3 linked regions of the Drosophila melanogaster genome follow. The protein of the gene in region 1 interacts with the protein of each later gene in a pairwise test. Each region holds a gene or a part of one and is shown in the gene's direction. Other genes may lie near its edges. The genes, in order: CG10494, CG32369 and CG5681.

Region 1 (5,322 bases):
AAGTTCTACAACATTAGTGTGGATATGAAAATTGTTCACGAAAATTATAATGGCATCACTCTCCAGAATGATATAGCATTGCTTCGTATGTCCGAAGCTGTGGAGTACTCAGGTAAATAGAGGGGTTTTATCTCACGTGGATGACTAAAGCTTTATGTTTTTCGTTATAGATTATGTTAGGCCAATTTGCCTTCTTGTCGGCGAGCAAATGCAAAGCATTCCAATGTTTACGGTTACCGGCTGGGGTGAAACAGAATATGGTCAATTCAGTCGGATCCTACTGAATGCCACTCTATATAACATGGATATATCATACTGTAACATTAAGTTCAACAAACAGGCTGATCGATCGCAGATATGTGCTGGCAGTCATACCAGTAACACCTGTAAGGGCGATTCTGGAGGCCCATTGAGCTCGAAATTTCATTATGGCAACAGGCTTCTGAGTTTCCAGTACGGCTTGGTCAGCTACGGATCCGAAAGGTGCGCGGCTAATGTGGCAGGTGTTTACACCAATGTATCGTACCACAGGGAATGGATATTTAATAAAATGGTTCAATTCAAACCTACAGGTCATACTACCTTTTGGTTATCCAAGCTCGTAGGCCAAACTTGTAACATAACAGACATAATAAGGAATATAGAACTAATGTATAACAGAATTGTATATGAAAATTAATTAATATTCGACAAAATGGCAGGGCAACGCATCGAAGTTCGAAATATATTAAAGTTCAAGAGATTTAATTAAAAAAAAAAAATCTTGTCATTAATTGAAAATAAACGATGTCACATTCAAATCGATTGTAAAAATTGTATTAGTATTTTTTCTGAATAAATCACTTCTTATCTCTGCCGTTTGCCGAAGAACAAGCATAAAAATAGAAACCGATGCCATTCGAATTTAGTCTCTGAACAAGATGCGTCTACCTATACGGCAGCTTGTGATAGTAGCCTGTCTTTTTATTGGGATTATCCGGACGGAATCCGGACGCTTACTGGAAAACGACTGTGGAACCACGAGCAGTAATGGTTATAGAGCGCGAATCGATGGAGGTAGAGATGCTGGCATGGAATCGAATCCCTGGATGGTCAGAGTAATGATTTCGGGAAAAGCAGTGTGTGGCGGTTCACTTATAACTGCTCGTAAGTATTTGGAATTGATAATAAGAAATATATACTCAAATTATCATTGTATGTTCATTTAGGATTTGTTTTGACCGCCGAGCATTGCATTTCCCCAATGTATATGTGAGTGCATACCATACTATTACTACACATTTGATCCTCAAAATGACCTTTTTTAAGGAATGTGCGCCTGGGCGAATACGATACCCGACATCCCATATTCGACTGCGATGATTTTGTCTGCACACCAAGGGCCTACAATGTGGACGTGGATAGGAAAATTGTTCATAGTAATCCAGGATATGATATTGGTCTGTTGCGAATGCAAAGGAGTGTGATATTCTCAAGTAAGTGCATTTCGCTATCAAAAGTTTCTTGGGAACTAAATATGTAACTAACTAAAGTTCGCCATAGACTATGTCAGACCAATCTGCTTGATTCTGGGCAAAACGTTGGGTGGGAACCCACTCTCAATATTACGCTTCAATTTCACCGGATGGGGTACAAATAGTGATGGAGAAGAGCAAGATAGGCTACAGACTGCCACCCTGCAACAATTACCTCAATGGAGTTGTGAAAGACCTGGAAGACCTCTCGATATATCCTATATATGTGCCGGCAGTTATATCAGTGATTCGTGCAAAGGCGATTCGGGAGGTCCTTTGAGCGCAATTCGTACATTTGAGGGGCAGGGAAGGGTCTTCCAGTTCGGTGTCGCTAGCCAAGGACTTCGGTTGTGCAGTGGCTTGGGAATTTACACCAATGTCACACACTTTACGGACTGGATATTGGATGTTATTCAAAACCATTCAGACGACTTTGAATGAGATCAAAATATGTTGCTTAATAACAATATAATGTTTTAGCGTATATATTTTGGCTATCAATATCATAGTTTCTTGTTGGTTTTGGTTTTTTTTTTCAGATTGTAGGCTATTTCTACATTTAACATACATATTCCTTACATGAAACATACATTCGAGCAGAATGTATGGTACGGCCGCATCGATGCCGATAACGATAGGTAGCTTAACGCGTCCTACTATCGATGACAGTTTTGTTATTGTTATGATTTGATCAAGCTAAAAAAAAACCGATCAAATATAAATATATATTTATTGATTTCATTGCGCGATTTAAGCATAACCATTTGAAAATGAGCAAGTTCTCGCTCTTCAATGGCAACGATGAGGACGAGCACGAAACGGAGCAGAAATACGCACACCTTATGAGTGGGTAAGCAGCGTCCTCAGCCGGTTCGATGTTACCAAATCCTTACTTTTCGTAACAGATCTGGGAAATGCGAGTCACTCGGTGTCGGAAAATAGTTCTGGGAAAGCGAGTCGCTGCAAGTGGACCAGCGCAAAGGTGGAGACCTTTCTGGAAATCATTCACCAACTTAAACTGCAAGCTGCTCTTCGAAGGCCGCGAAGCAATGCAAAGGTGTTTCGTATGGTGTCCAGAGAAATGGCCCGGCGGAACTGCCCCAAGAGTCCAAAGCATCTGAGAGTCAAGTTCCATCAGATGCGGCGTCAGTATGCGAGAGCTCGGAATGGCGGCGAACCATTCGAGCACTTTGAGGCGGTGCACGAGTTGATGCAGGGAGAAGATGTATCTGATCTGGATGAAGAGGCGCTAGAGAGTGACAGCGATATGGAGGCCGACGAGGACCAGTCCGGCATGATCTCAGAAACCGAAGGGGACGGTAGGTGCCACCGGGCAGGAATGTATTGGAATACGAACTTAGGCGACTTTCCTTCGCAGATGCTTTGGATGCCTCAGGATCTTCAGTTAACATCGTCGCCCGCTGCAAGTGGGCAGAGGGCGAAGTGGACCTCCTCCTAGACCTGATCCACACACTTGGACTGCGAGCAGCTTTGCTGCAAAAGCGCAATGCCAAGGTCTTCAAGCTGCTGTCCAAGGAGATGGCAAAACGCAACTGCCACAAGGGTGCTGAGAAGCTGCGCATCAAGTTCCAGCAGCTGCGGCGATTGTACAACAAGGTCAAGAACGGCACGGGGAAAACGTTCGAGCATTTTGAGGCGATGCGACTGGTCCTGGATCCCACCGAAGAGGAGGCGGCCGCAGATGCTGAAGCGGAAGCCCATCTGAGCAGCGCAAGCGATAGTGATTTCAATGACAGTGACGAGGAAGAGGGTGATGCATCACAGAGAAGCGGAGGTAGATATTATAATAGCTAGTTCCTATTCCATATTTAATTAAATTCCTATGTTCCTTAGCGCACTTTTGGACAGACGAAGAGGTTGATTCGTTTCTACTCATCATTCGGGACAATGGTTTCTTTCGCGCCTTGGATGGCTCAAGGAAGCGCAACTTCCAGACCCTGGTGCACATTTCCAACATCCTGGCTAAGCAGGACATCAAACGCACGCCACACCAGCTGCGCAATAAACTAAGGCTGCTCTGCAAGCGTCATCGAGAGGCCAAGGAGCACGGGCTAGATAATGTACGCATTCTGCCTCGCCACTTTGAGCTTTTCGATGAACTGATTCAGGCGCCGCGGGAGAACAGAGAAAGTGCCATCAGCAGGCTCATTCGCATCAGCAAGCCTTCCTTTCTCAAGCCGCCAGGCAAACCAAGCGTTCCGCTGGAAAGTGACAGCGACAACTCCAGCTCCACCTGCGATCTCCTAAGAGCGGCAGCCGATAGCGAGGACTACGTGGACGCCATCGAGATGGAGGCTGAACCAACGCCGATTGAAGCACTCACTGCAATCATAGAAGGTCAAAAGCAGCTGCTTGCGCAGATCAAAACTACCAACGAAAGCTTCTTGCGGCAGCAACGCGAGCAGCAGCATCAATTTTTGGAACAAGTATCGGAACTGATGCATCGAGATCGAGAGGAGACCCTGCGCAGGATCAGCGAAATGCTGCAACCGAAGTAATGGAAACATAGAACTCAAGCTTCTAAAACTTTTATTGAATTGAATTCGAAGTTATTGCAAAAAGTTGTCATTATTTATATATATTATATGTATGTATTCTATATTCAATATCGTGTGTGTGTGTGTATCCTGTTTTTGTGACAGTGTCCTGTGTCTAGAATTTATTCCTCATTCATTGTGAACAGAATGTTGGTTTGAAGTTACTCGCAATTCGCAATTGTCTACGATTTATCTAGGGTTTTGTATAAGTATATACGTAATTTTGAGAGATTTTTCGTTTTTTATTTGATATGCTACATTGTTATTTTTTGGGATTAAGTTAACAGTTGGATTCGTTTTAGGTTTTAACATTAAGCGAAAATGCTCGTTAGTTTTTAGTTTTTGTTCTGCTTGTGTCATCTGTATACACATATGTATATATTTTGTATATTGTTCGGTTTACAACAACTAAGCAAGCTCGTCATAAAATATGTGTTGCACTCCAAAAAAAAAAACAATGTAATCAATTGGGCATAGAAAACTAAACTGCTGTTGCTGATCTGAACCGATCTGGCTTGATATATATACGTGTATGTTCGTTACGTTACGCTCAGGCACAAAGTGTAAATTACAAATATCTCTCCGCATCTCGAAAACCATAGGGAAACACAATCAATCAATCAACCAATCAATCAATCAATCAATCAATGGGTTCTCATTTGGTGGTTAATTATTGCATTCGCATTCATTTCCTAGCGGTGTGTGAGTTGCTTGTATTTCATAATATTTTTTATTCTTTGAGTTTCTGTGGCTTTGTGTCTCTTGGAGCACGGCTGAAAGCTTGGCTTGACTTGGCTGCTGCTGCTGCATTATTTTTTCTCAGTGTGTGGTAACAACAATAACAAGGTGTCTTTTGGAGATTATGTGGACTCTGCAGTAACAATCTAAGAGCTGACCGGCTCGGGCAGTGGGTTCTCTGTGATGCGTATCTTGTTGCTCTGGGTGCCGTAGTAAAGCGTGCCCGATGTGTCCGTGGTCACGTAGGCTCGGTTGCCATTACCGGTTCCTGTTCCGTTGCCGCCGGCACATCCGTTTCCGTTCTCCAGATCCTGGTCGTCCCCGTCGACGCTGCGACCATCCGCATTATTATTGTCCCCCTGGCCGGCGGTGGTGTTGGAGTTGCTGCTGGTGCAATTGATGGCCGTCTCCCGAAGGCGATTGCCAACGCGAAGGCTCAGCTGCCGCTGGCGATCCCGCTCCCTTTCCCGCTCACGATCGCGCTCCTCCATCGCCTGCTGCTGCTGCTCCCG
Region 2 (5,773 bases), on another chromosome or scaffold:
GAGGTCAAGTTGATTGCATAATTGGTGAGTGGAGAGAGGATCTGAAAATGGTAACTGGATATGAGATAAGCTGTTAAAACTGTTGGGTGCAGTTGACATGTCGCTAAATAAAGCTGCCGGAAACTCAAGAACTGAAATGACGAACTTCAAGTTCGGATAAAATGCGCATTCTAAAACAATGTATACCATTCAACATTTAATCTGTGGAAAAACTTCCATGGATTCCAATCATAAGACAAATTCTCACTTCCACTTGGCAACAAACGAAACTCGCCCGACTTCAATTAACATTCACTAAAACAACGAAAAAAAATAAATAATTTGTTTGTCAGCTTCACACACCTATTTCAAATTCAGCTGAACCAAAGCCCAAATCGGTGATATACACTATTATGCAAAAAACATAATAAAGCAAAAAAAAAAAACTGAAACTAATTTCCTCATATATTGCTTACAAAATAAACATTTCAAACATGAAACTCGCAGCTAATTTCCGTTGATGAACAACAAAAGCAGCGCCAACTATTTGAGAAATGGGAGCTGTATAACCGGTACACAGTCAAAATTTAATTATATAATTGTACATGGTATTAAAATATATGGTACTACTAAAATAACGTTAATTGCTAAACAATTAAAGATTATTGAGATTCTACAACTCAGAAATTTGAAAATATATATTAGAATAAATTTTGTTAATTTTAATATGTTTTAATCTGTAAACTTTCAAGCTTTGTTTTTTTTTTGAATGCAGGCTTAAACCAGACCCAGACCTGAGGCAAAGCAATTCGATTACTTCCCTATGGGGAAATGTTGCAATAAATGCGAGCAATGCTCAAACATAAGCGGACTCCACTCGCCCGCCCCGCATATTTTTATACTGTCCAAGACTTACGAAAGCGAAAAATGAGTTAACAACAACGGCCACTCAAAATGTTAATGGAAACGCAGCAGCAGCAGCAGCAGCAGCAGCATGAAAACTGGTAGTATGCAGGCAACCGCTAACAGACAACGTTGAACTTGAGCTTGAAATACAAGCCAAGCGGAGCCAAAAGAGAAAGACGGGAAGTAGGGGGAGGGGAAGCGATACGCGGTTGTTATAAGCCAAGTTTGTCGACAACTGCATTTGTTGATCAACCCAAATGAGGTCAACGCGTCGTATACGTAATTTGCGTTAAATGACAAAACAATATGTAATAGCCACACAACACTTACGAAACGCAGATATTCGATATTACAGACGAACTTTAACAACTCTGAGCTCTATCGGGATAGGAAATCTATAGCTTCAAAACCTGTTTAAGGATTATAAAATTAATACATCTTGTAATGACATGTCTGAGAATTAATCAACTTATATTTTCACAGTTTAATCTATTGTGTATTTTGTTATACAAATTTCGTTATTAATTTTATAAGTTATTTGAGTAAGCTTTTATTCTATTTTACATAATCTAAAAACTATATTTGCGTATTAAACAAAATTACAAAATTTTATATATGTAATTTAGTTTAAGTAACAGAAAATCGACCGTATCTGTTGTGATTATTGATGTTTGCTTGGTGTTTATATGGCTGTAGTCTGTTGAGTGGCGCCGGAAATGCGCATCATACGATAAATGACGCCCACTGGCAAACTAGCACCCCCAACACCACCCACTATCCCCCAACCCAATAGTTTTGCAAATCACCCACCGCAGCCCCCGCTGCCCCATCATTTTTCTTGGCGTCGCCTGTTGTGACAGTTGACGGTTTGCCGGCAAAAATTAAAAAAAAAAATAAAATGCCAGAGAGAGAAGTGCTAAACAAAGAGAGCTCAAGGCACAGACATCGATGACGCAACAGACACATCCACGGAGGCGTAAGAGAGTCGACCCCAAAAGAGAGCGCCAATTTTTCGCTCCAAGCCAACGACTGACTTTTCACAGCAGTCATTCGCTGTTGAACAGCGGCCGTGGCAAGTTCAGACAGCAGGGAGAGTTTGAAAAAAAAAACCAGGCCGTAATACAAATACAAAAAGCAAAATAATAAAAATTATACAAAAAAAAAGTATGAATAATAAAAAAGGCAAATAAAAAAGCAACAAAGTGGAGCGCACCCCATAAGCAAATCATCGCCGAGCCACTCGAACACGTTGCCGCCGTTGCTGCTGTTGTCGCTATTTCTTTCGCCCAGTGCGTTCGCTCTCTCTCTTTCTGTCTCGTCGCGTAACGTAAGCGTATTACAAAACAAACGCCAACGTAATCAAAGAAATAAATAAAATAAAATAAAGGTGCTCGCTCGCGTGTTTCTCGGTGTGAATAAATGAAATAAATAAATTAGTCACAAAATATAAAAAGGGGGTCCAAGTGCAGCCCCCCCCAAATTGCCGCACACCCTTTACGAGAAAGAAAGAAAAAAAGTTAACCCGTGTGTGCGGCGGGGTTACGTAAAGCCGACGGACAAGCGCCGTTCCAAGTTCTTACAAAACAAAAAAAAAAATATATATAAATATCAAACAACACATAACACGAGTGAATAGATTCCCCAATTCGATTTTTTCGCACGCGTGTGGCTATAAATTTTTGGCAAACAAAAATATATACAACTAAATACAACAACAAAATTTTAAATAAATTGCAAGAAGAAGAGGGAGAATTTCGTGTGTTAGTGTGTGTGTCTGTGTGTGATTCTTGAGCAACAGTACACGCCGCACCCCCCGCGAAAAACCTACCCTTTTTTGGGGAAAAACAAGGAGGCGCGGTTCAACAGCGACAGGTAATTCCATTTCTGCGCTCTCTTTGCCACTCTTTCGGGTTCTCTTTGTGTGTGTTACGACATCAAACCACATGCTATGCCTCTGTTTTCAATGTGAATGAACGCTCGACAAAGTTGCGTTTTCAAAGATTGGCACATTCAAGTCTCTCTCTTAGTTTTTCGCTCTTTGTCGGGGAAAACAGTTTTTCATTTGCTATCTGCAATGATTGTGAAAACAAAAAGTGCACTGCTTGAGTCTAGCGGAGGGAAAACTGCAGGGGCGGCTCTTACGTGTTGCCATATTTTTAAAGGCATTACTAAGCGTTTTTTCCGCGCTGCTTTGTTGACGTTCTGTGGCCAATTGAATTCGGCCTGCACTTGATAATCATTTATATTTAATGTGTGATAAAACTTCCGTGGAAAAATATATATCTTAACGATTTCGCGATAAATTAGCTCAGATAAGCAAAAAACAAATGGTGGAAAGAACGATTTGGGAATTTTAAAAGAAGTAAAATTAAGAAAATAAACAATTCAACCTCGTTAAATTATAGTTGACACAAATTTTATATACAAAGTTAAAGTATATAAAATATAACTGGTAAAAAAAAACGTCAGTTTTTTTCATTTTCATTTCATTCATTTTCCTTGAATCTGTCGCGTTGTCATCGCTTTCGTAATTCTCTGGTTAACAGTTTCCAATCCCCGATAATCTACTAAAGATTCGCCAATTTGTCGGGGTCACCACCCAATATTCGTCAGCTACCAAAGCGAGAAACTGGGCTCCTTCCCTCTCCCCCCCTCGACCGCATATGCCCCTCTCACTCGGTTGACGTTTAGCGTTACGACACGCAATGTACTACGAGTATTATGCGACGTTTGCTGCCAATGAACAAGCCGCAACAACACAGTTCGCCCACTTGGCCCAAAACGAAAAACGCCAAAGGGGTTGGGGAAATGCTGAAAAAATATGGTTAGCTCGAAAAGAGGAAAAACCTATTTGCATACGTCATCGGGCGAAAAAGGTTCGTCATGACTCAGAGTCGAATATCGAGGAAGCCAGACTTCAAACAGCTGGATCGTTGTTATATAAACCAAGTCAAACACTACACCGAACTTATGTAAGGCCCAAAGGGACCGGGCCAATTAGTCACAGCGAATGTGGGGGTTCTTGTGTAATCGGTGTGAAATCAAAACCGAAAACCTGAAAAATCACAAACTATGTAGAAATTTTTGGTTGCTAATTGGCTTGCCTCAATAAATTCTTCAGCCCAGTTTCTTTTGTAGTTATTTTGAGCTATTTATATCAGCGTTTATCGCCGTCGTCATTGTCGTCCATTCGAATACAATGTCATAAAACGTGTGAGCCAAGCAAAAAACGGCAAGACAAATGAGAAACCAATAAAACAAATATCAAAGAAGAAATCAAAATGTACAAAACCAAATAAACGCCAACATTAAGGCAATGAAAATGTATGCGATTTCATAATTACGTCGAAAACTACCATCGGAGCATAATCACTTGGTTATGCAATTTATTGGCTTATGTGGCGTGATTACTTGGCGATTAAAGAACTCTATCAGAAGTTCTTGGGATTTTAGGAAATTGGTGAAAGACTTAAACAACTTTGTAGGAATTTCCACACCTGAGCTGTTGCTCATATCGTATTTGGGTACATGAATGTTCATGAAGATGAATCATTTGTTGACTCATTTTCATAAGATAGCAATTTCATAGTTGATACAGAACAACTGTCGTTTTCAATCAGTTCTTTACAAGCAAGCAAATAGTAATTATTTCAACAATCGCTCAATGAGTTTATCACATTTAGTGCTGTAAGTTCCTTTATCGACTTCAATCACTGCGCGCCTACAATCACTTATCGGACTTAAGGCAAACAATGCCTGAATTCAGTTGACTTAGAATACTGACAAACGCCGTTGTAAATGTAGCTATATACACATATTATATGTCAACGCTGCCATTTTGTCTGAGTGACGACGGACAACGGTTGTTTGTATCTACGATTGACATTGCATAATATTGTGAAAAATAAAGCAATCTACGCTATAAGCTATTGCCCTGAGGGCGTGTTCAGGTAGCCGGGCTTCACATATTTGTTATTCACTTAGGAACAATTTATCGGATACGGATTATGCAATAGGACTTTACGTACACGGAACTGCAACCACGATTGCACCAGGATGCACGTGCAGTTATATGAGGCGTATACATAATTTTTACTTACGCAAAGCCGAGCGGCAACAGGAACAATTAGAATCGAGTGCCTTCTGGCTTGTTTACCAACTTTTCCCTTGTCCAATACAATGTTTCACAATGCCAGCTGATATGAAAGTTGGAGCTCCCTATCTCAATCTCGTTCGTTACCTCTCTATTTATATATACTGCTTATATGGTTTCGTTTCCGAGGCGGAGATTGCGCTGTTTTGCTTAAAATGATCAGAAAGTGAGTTCTCTCGAGTGCTACAATATCGATATCAGTAAATTGCTTTCGAAAGGGAAATTTCTGCAGGGCGAATTCGTGAATTTCAAGTACAATATACAGGGAACTTAAATGTGAGTGAGGACTTAAGGTCACGTCGTGATCAGCTCCAACTGACTGAAACATTAAGTAGATATTATCCAATTAATTTCTATATTTTTGAGTTTCATGCTGACGATTTATTGACCCTCATAATAATCCCACTTTATTTCAAATTTTCTATCTCTTATCTTCTATTGCCAGTAACTCGTTCGTTTGAAAGTGTATTATCTGTCTAATCTAACCAAAAAAAAAAAAAAAGAAATAATACCTACCCAGATCTTATGTAACCTGCAGCCGAAATTCTATTCCGAATATAACATGCGTGTTTAATTTTCATTATATTTTTTGGGTCGCCAACTCGATCAGAAAGTCTCATGTAGATCGTATATCTGCGGACATATAAACACACCCTTGATAAATTCATTTTCTTGGCTAACTACCAACTTATAAGATATTTCAGCATTACTTAACAACGAGATTTATGCAAAAGC
Region 3 (5,477 bases), on another chromosome or scaffold:
GTAAACTTAGTTTCAGGGAAAAGTGCATGAAAACCCTATTTTTCTGTTCAGAATAGTACTCCTTTTTGTGGAAATCCCATGCTGTTACATTTGTCAACACTTGAAATTCTGTTACAGAATTCAGTATTTAAGCAACTGTATGATTCGTTTGTCTTTTAACATTACATTTCCATTTAATAAGATAATTTTCTTTTCTTTAACGTTATATTTCTATTTCTATATAATGAAAGACTAACTTTAGGTATGAGGAGTGGTTAAGATCATTCCGAATTTATGATCTGCAGATCGTTTGAGCTTAAGCTACATATAAGAAATCACAGAACAAGCCCTTTAATTGGACATTTCATTGAATGGGAACGACTATTGCATGATAAATACCCAAAAGTGGGCACTAAATTTACCCAATGCTGATTTCGGCTCGTGTCTTTGGGTTGATTTAACCTAATAGTCGTGATGGTTTCTGGCTGATGGCGATTTATGGTCTTGAGGGATTTTTATGCGGCTCCCAGGGTTGCCAACTACTCGCTCTACTGTATTCGATAATATTTTATGTGTTTCTGTTTTTTTATTGCCTGCGATTACGAGACAGTTTTCTTTTCGGGACTTGGCACAAATCTACTGACAAAGACAATGGAGGAATTTCCTTTGGCGGATGTGGCAATTTAAGTGCTGGTTTGGCCAGGAATTTATGGTTTATGGATTTTGTCAAATTACAAGTTATTCTAGCCATCCTTTGCGAGCAACCTTTTGTCTATAGACTGTCAACACATTGTAGGCTTTTGCATTCGAGCGAGTAAGGAAATGGGAAGAATGCCTAGCATGTGCTTGTGTTTCTTGAGGCTCTTTGCATTGAAATTGCTCTCTGATGTTCCATACATTGTTTATTTGTTTACTTGCCTTATTTTATTGTTTGCTACCATAAAAGCATATCAATGTGCAAATTTTTATCGCCTAGCAGCTGGGCAACCATAAAGTGGAAATTATATCGAAGATTATGATTGTTATGGGCCCTACAACATCGAATTTATGAATGTCCAACGTAATAAATAAATATAAATTGAAAGCAGGAGAACGTGTATCTGTTGGTGGTAGGCAAATTGCCAATAAAAAGGCGTTAGCTTTTGATACTTGTGGAGAATTATACGGTGTTTCAAATTATGGTGAGTGTTTTGAATGACTCAAAATGTTCTGTCTTGCCAAAACTCAAAAATCAATCACAAAATACTTGCCATAAGATTGAATTAATCCATCTTAAACTTTCTGATTTCCGAGTTTTCCATTTTCAAAAACTTTCGGTTAATTGCACAAATGGCAAGCAATAGATATTTGAGCATTTGAGCTGATTTCCAAATACGTCGCCCCCAAACAATTCCAAATCCAATGGAAAATAAACCGGAAAGAGAATTGGAAACTAATTGGGGTGGAGTGGAGTTCGATGTTTTTGAAAAGAAATCAGGTAAAATTGCCAAGTGATTGTTTATGTTTGTGGGTGCTTGTGCGTCTGTAAACAATGAATATGCATGACTTGCCATGAACAGCCACACATGCAACAACAGAAATCGAGAAACAGGAAAGGCAACTTCAATTTGCGAAAGTGATATTCTGGTCGGAAGAAAAAAGGAGCAAAATGCCAGCGAGCATTAGAAAGAGATGGCTGGCACACTTCTTGATTGACATGCATAACGTTGATTAATTAATGCCGTCGATATGCCGATGACAGATGCTGTATTTCCTCCGCTCGAGCGGAAATAGAACTAAGTCGAGTTTCCTGGCTCTACTATCTTCGGCAGGAAAGTGAAGAGCGGCTTAACCCGTTTCATTTGCGAGATGTTTGCCATTCAGTTTACACAAATGAGAGTTTTTCGATTGAGGAATGCATTTCGAGTCCTTGCATCTTCACGAGGGTCTTCAGCCGTATAATCCGGCAATTAGTAAATGTCAAATTCCATGCTCTCATTGAAAGTCAAAATTTACAGCCTGCGAATCGCAGTTATATATTATCGGGCGGTCCAAGGAGACGGCCCCTGTAAATATGCAACGGAAATGGCAGCTACGCATGTGATTATGTTTCCTCTGTCTCCGAAGAGCGCATATATGTGCAGGAAGATGTTAACATTCATGTGCTACATACAAACTCGCCTGTAAGCGAGGCTAAGTCCTTGGCTTGATTAAAAGCCTTGTTCTGGCGATGAATTGTTGCCGCATACTTTGGAGCGTTCTTGTGGAACATACCTCGTATTTAAAGGTGGGCAAACTATCAAGTTTCTGATACCGTGGTGGAGATGTTAAAGTTCAGAAGTTTTTCACAAGTTGTCTATTGGAATTCATACGTGATGATAAGTTTGTATACTTATCGATAAGTGTTAAGTAGGCCTTTTTCCAAATTTCAAACATATACAAAAAAAAAAAAACAAACAGATAAGCATTTGAGTTGTACGTTTAACAAGCAAGTTGAAGTGCTCAGTCAAGATTTATAGCCTATCAGAACATATTTAATTCGAGAAAAAAAAGGTATATTTGGTAAGAAATATCAATACCAATGAATTTTAAAGTGTATTTTACAGCCAGAATAAGATGAATCTAACCTTGAAATCAGAAAAGGAGTCAAGTGCTAGCACTGCAGATAAAGTCTCGAAGCTCTACAGCGAGATAGCAAATATGAAAAGGGACTATGATGACTGGGCGAAAATTATGGAAAAGAGCCACTTAAAAGAACAAAACGAGATTAAGCTTTGGGAAAGGGCTATTGAAAAAGTTAAAGAAACGGTGAAAGACAACAGTGCCGAGACAACTTTTGATGTCAGGAATGACGAAAATGATATTTTTTTGACTATCGCGTACACGCCCACCCAATCAAAGTGCATAGAAATAAAAAACAGCGGCCACCTGATGAGCTTCACATTGCCCGACGCCTTGGAGTGGATTCAGATGAATATTGCAGGTCTAAAAGGATCAATAAAGAAAATCGTCCTTGATCAGTATTATGTGAATTCTCAACAAGAAATACTTCTCTGGACGCAAAAATATTTGAACAAAAAGGAAACAGCACTACCTCAAATCGCAATAGGAACTGAGGGACAGACCGAAATGAATGGTAATATGGTAAAGGCACGTGAAGGCCTTGCGGAACTTGTGAATCATAGCGAACCGGACTTAAATGCATTTATGCTGAAAGCAGAAGAGGACAGTGCTTTAATAAAAAACTTGACAGATGAAGTTCTTGATATGCTAAGTAAGCTTATAAGCTTTAATTCTGAAGTCTTGACAGATACAATAGTTGATGGTATTAGAAAAGAAATCGATGAGCTCTTGGAAAGACTTGGAGAAGGAAACAATACAGCTGAGACAGCCAAATACCCAACCAGCAACCAAAGAACTGGGAATTCTCCGAAAATGATCGCTCCTACTAAACATATTTCGAAAAATAAATACCACACTAAACATAACATCAAAGGTATGGAAAACGAATTGCCTACACTAGATACAAACAAAAAAGAACCGATGATGGTCGATTTGATGGATATAAGAAAGATTAAAGTCAAACTGATTGAATATAAAGCAAATGAAACCGGTGGCACTAAAAATGGATTAGCTGAAAAACAATCGAACCTTAGCAAATTAAGTGACATTCACCTAGCTGACAAATTTCCAGATCAAGTTAACTCGATCGAAAGTATTACAAATAAAATCGAATCGAATGCAAATGATAGCAATGAAATTAACCATAGGCAGGATTATTCCCTTCATATAAATTTTTTTATAAATTCTGCACAAAAGGTAACCATTTCTAGTATTGATTTAGAGAGAAAAGAAAACACTGTAGCAGCTGAAGATGAAACATCTGGAACACAACCTATTAAAATCAGTACAGAAAATGAATCAGGTGGCCATAAACTCAATTCAGAGCAAAATTCCAATAGCATTAAACGTCGATTCCAATTTCCGAAAGATTTACATGGGACCCAATCATTAGAGTTTGATTTAAAGGAATGTCTAGATCAATACACGAGTGGAGGTATGAAAGCTGCACCAGAAAAAATGATGAAACATAATGAATCCTCTGAACGGATGTCCAAGTCAAAATGTGAAAATGACTTGGTTTCCTGTCCTCCTTTTAAGAATATTTCATTTGACTTCAACGAAAACAAAGGAAAGATGAGAAACATTTTAGGACCATGTTGATCTGAGCGCAAGTCATTAAAAAAAAAAACTCCATTTATTAAAAATAATATGAAAACTAATCATGGTGCAGGGGATACAATTATAAAAGATAATCCCGACGCTTTACCAGACTATACATTTGGAAACACTGTGAATGAGAAAAACTGTACAGAAAGCCCACCAAAGAGTATTTCTAAAAATGAAAATAGTAGTACCATTAAAATAGAAATTGAGTCCGGGACAGAAAAAAAAATCCTGTACTTCGGATACACCTTTAGCGATGATTACAATCCACGTGTGCCATGATGTTACAAATTTCGATAATTCTTTTGATTTATCTGCGACTGATGATATGAAATCTATAATAACCAAAAACAAAACCTCGGGGCAAAATATGAAATAATATAATGACCATTCCGTTACGGAAGTAGAAATCAATATGCTTATATTCTTTATAAATTTATAATTTTGTACAATCCCCATAATGATGCTTTTATAATATTGTAAATTATAACACTAATATTTCTTAAAATTCGTTATACATAGATTATTTTAGAAGATTAATATTATTAAACGTTATATTTTTCTTTTGGATGAAATGAATATTATGAAAACTACCAAATATTCAATATATGCGTCACAACAAATAATTCTTCAATAAATATAATTTAAAAAAATTATATTTTCCAAGTGTTTTACCTAATTGATTGAATTTGTTTGTATTTCTTCTGCTGCCACATGCTGAGAAAGAATAGGTCCTTCTCTCCAAGTCCAAAATGTCACCGTCCCAAATGAATAATTAAACATAATTAGCTCTCATTAAACAGGGTACTTCCCCCGGAGCTGGCCAAAACCGAATACAAAACGCAGCTTCGACACACACGGTTGGCCAGCTGAGGGGCATTCTGGCCAAATCAAAGCGAATCAGCCCAGTTCGGTGAGGTCGGGGTCCGAAGTGGGATGTTGTGACCCCAATAAGTCAACTGCAATACATAAATTTCGACACAGCAGCCGGCTTGGATCAGGTGGGCAGTCCCAAACCCAAATACAAACCCAATTCGGAGGACTAGACCAAGTGTTTGCCATTTCGACTTTGGCAAATAAACCAGAGAATCGCTGAGGAAGGGGATAAACGGTGCGGAGCATTGCTGTGTTTAAGGAATTCCTGATTGACAATGTGGTCTTCATAGGGGTCCACCCACTTTTGTCGCCATTGCCGTTGGTCAAGAGCAAATTTGGCAATACAACAAAACGCCTTTAACCTTTGACAGGCCGCACACATTTGAGCACACAGTTGAGCGTTTTGTGGTCCTACG

The links.
Region 2: the proteins of CG10494 (region 1) and CG32369 interact in a two-hybrid assay, tested with the Drosophila melanogaster proteins (one large-scale study listed by BioGRID).
Region 3: the proteins of CG10494 (region 1) and CG5681 interact in a two-hybrid assay, tested with the Drosophila melanogaster proteins (one large-scale study listed by BioGRID).

What each region holds. Positions count from the first base shown.
Region 1 is NT_033778.4:21,515,968-21,521,289, reverse strand, and holds CG10494 (uncharacterized protein), read left to right. Parts: upstream 1-2,164; 5' UTR 2,165-2,284; coding exon 2,285-2,360; exon of another isoform or gene 2,361-2,364; intron 2,365-2,419; coding exon 2,420-2,833; intron 2,834-2,892; coding exon 2,893-3,309; intron 3,310-3,368; coding exon 3,369-4,033; 3' UTR 4,034-4,135; downstream 4,136-5,322. Other genes in the region: CG30289 (uncharacterized protein), read left to right, coding at 1-112, 171-679; CG30288 (uncharacterized protein), read left to right, coding at 921-1,146, 1,209-1,251, 1,309-1,475, 1,543-1,955; MESK2 (misexpression suppressor of KSR 2), read right to left, coding at 4,957-5,322.
Region 2 is NT_037436.4:7,805,981-7,811,753, reverse strand, and holds the start of CG32369 (uncharacterized protein), read left to right. Parts: upstream 1-1,928; 5' UTR 1,929-2,757; intron 2,758-5,773.
Region 3 is NT_033779.5:17,983,954-17,989,430, forward strand, and holds CG5681 (uncharacterized protein), read left to right. Parts: upstream 1-2,445; 5' UTR 2,446-2,511; intron 2,512-2,564; 5' UTR 2,565-2,574; coding exon 2,575-4,182; 3' UTR 4,183-4,666; downstream 4,667-5,477.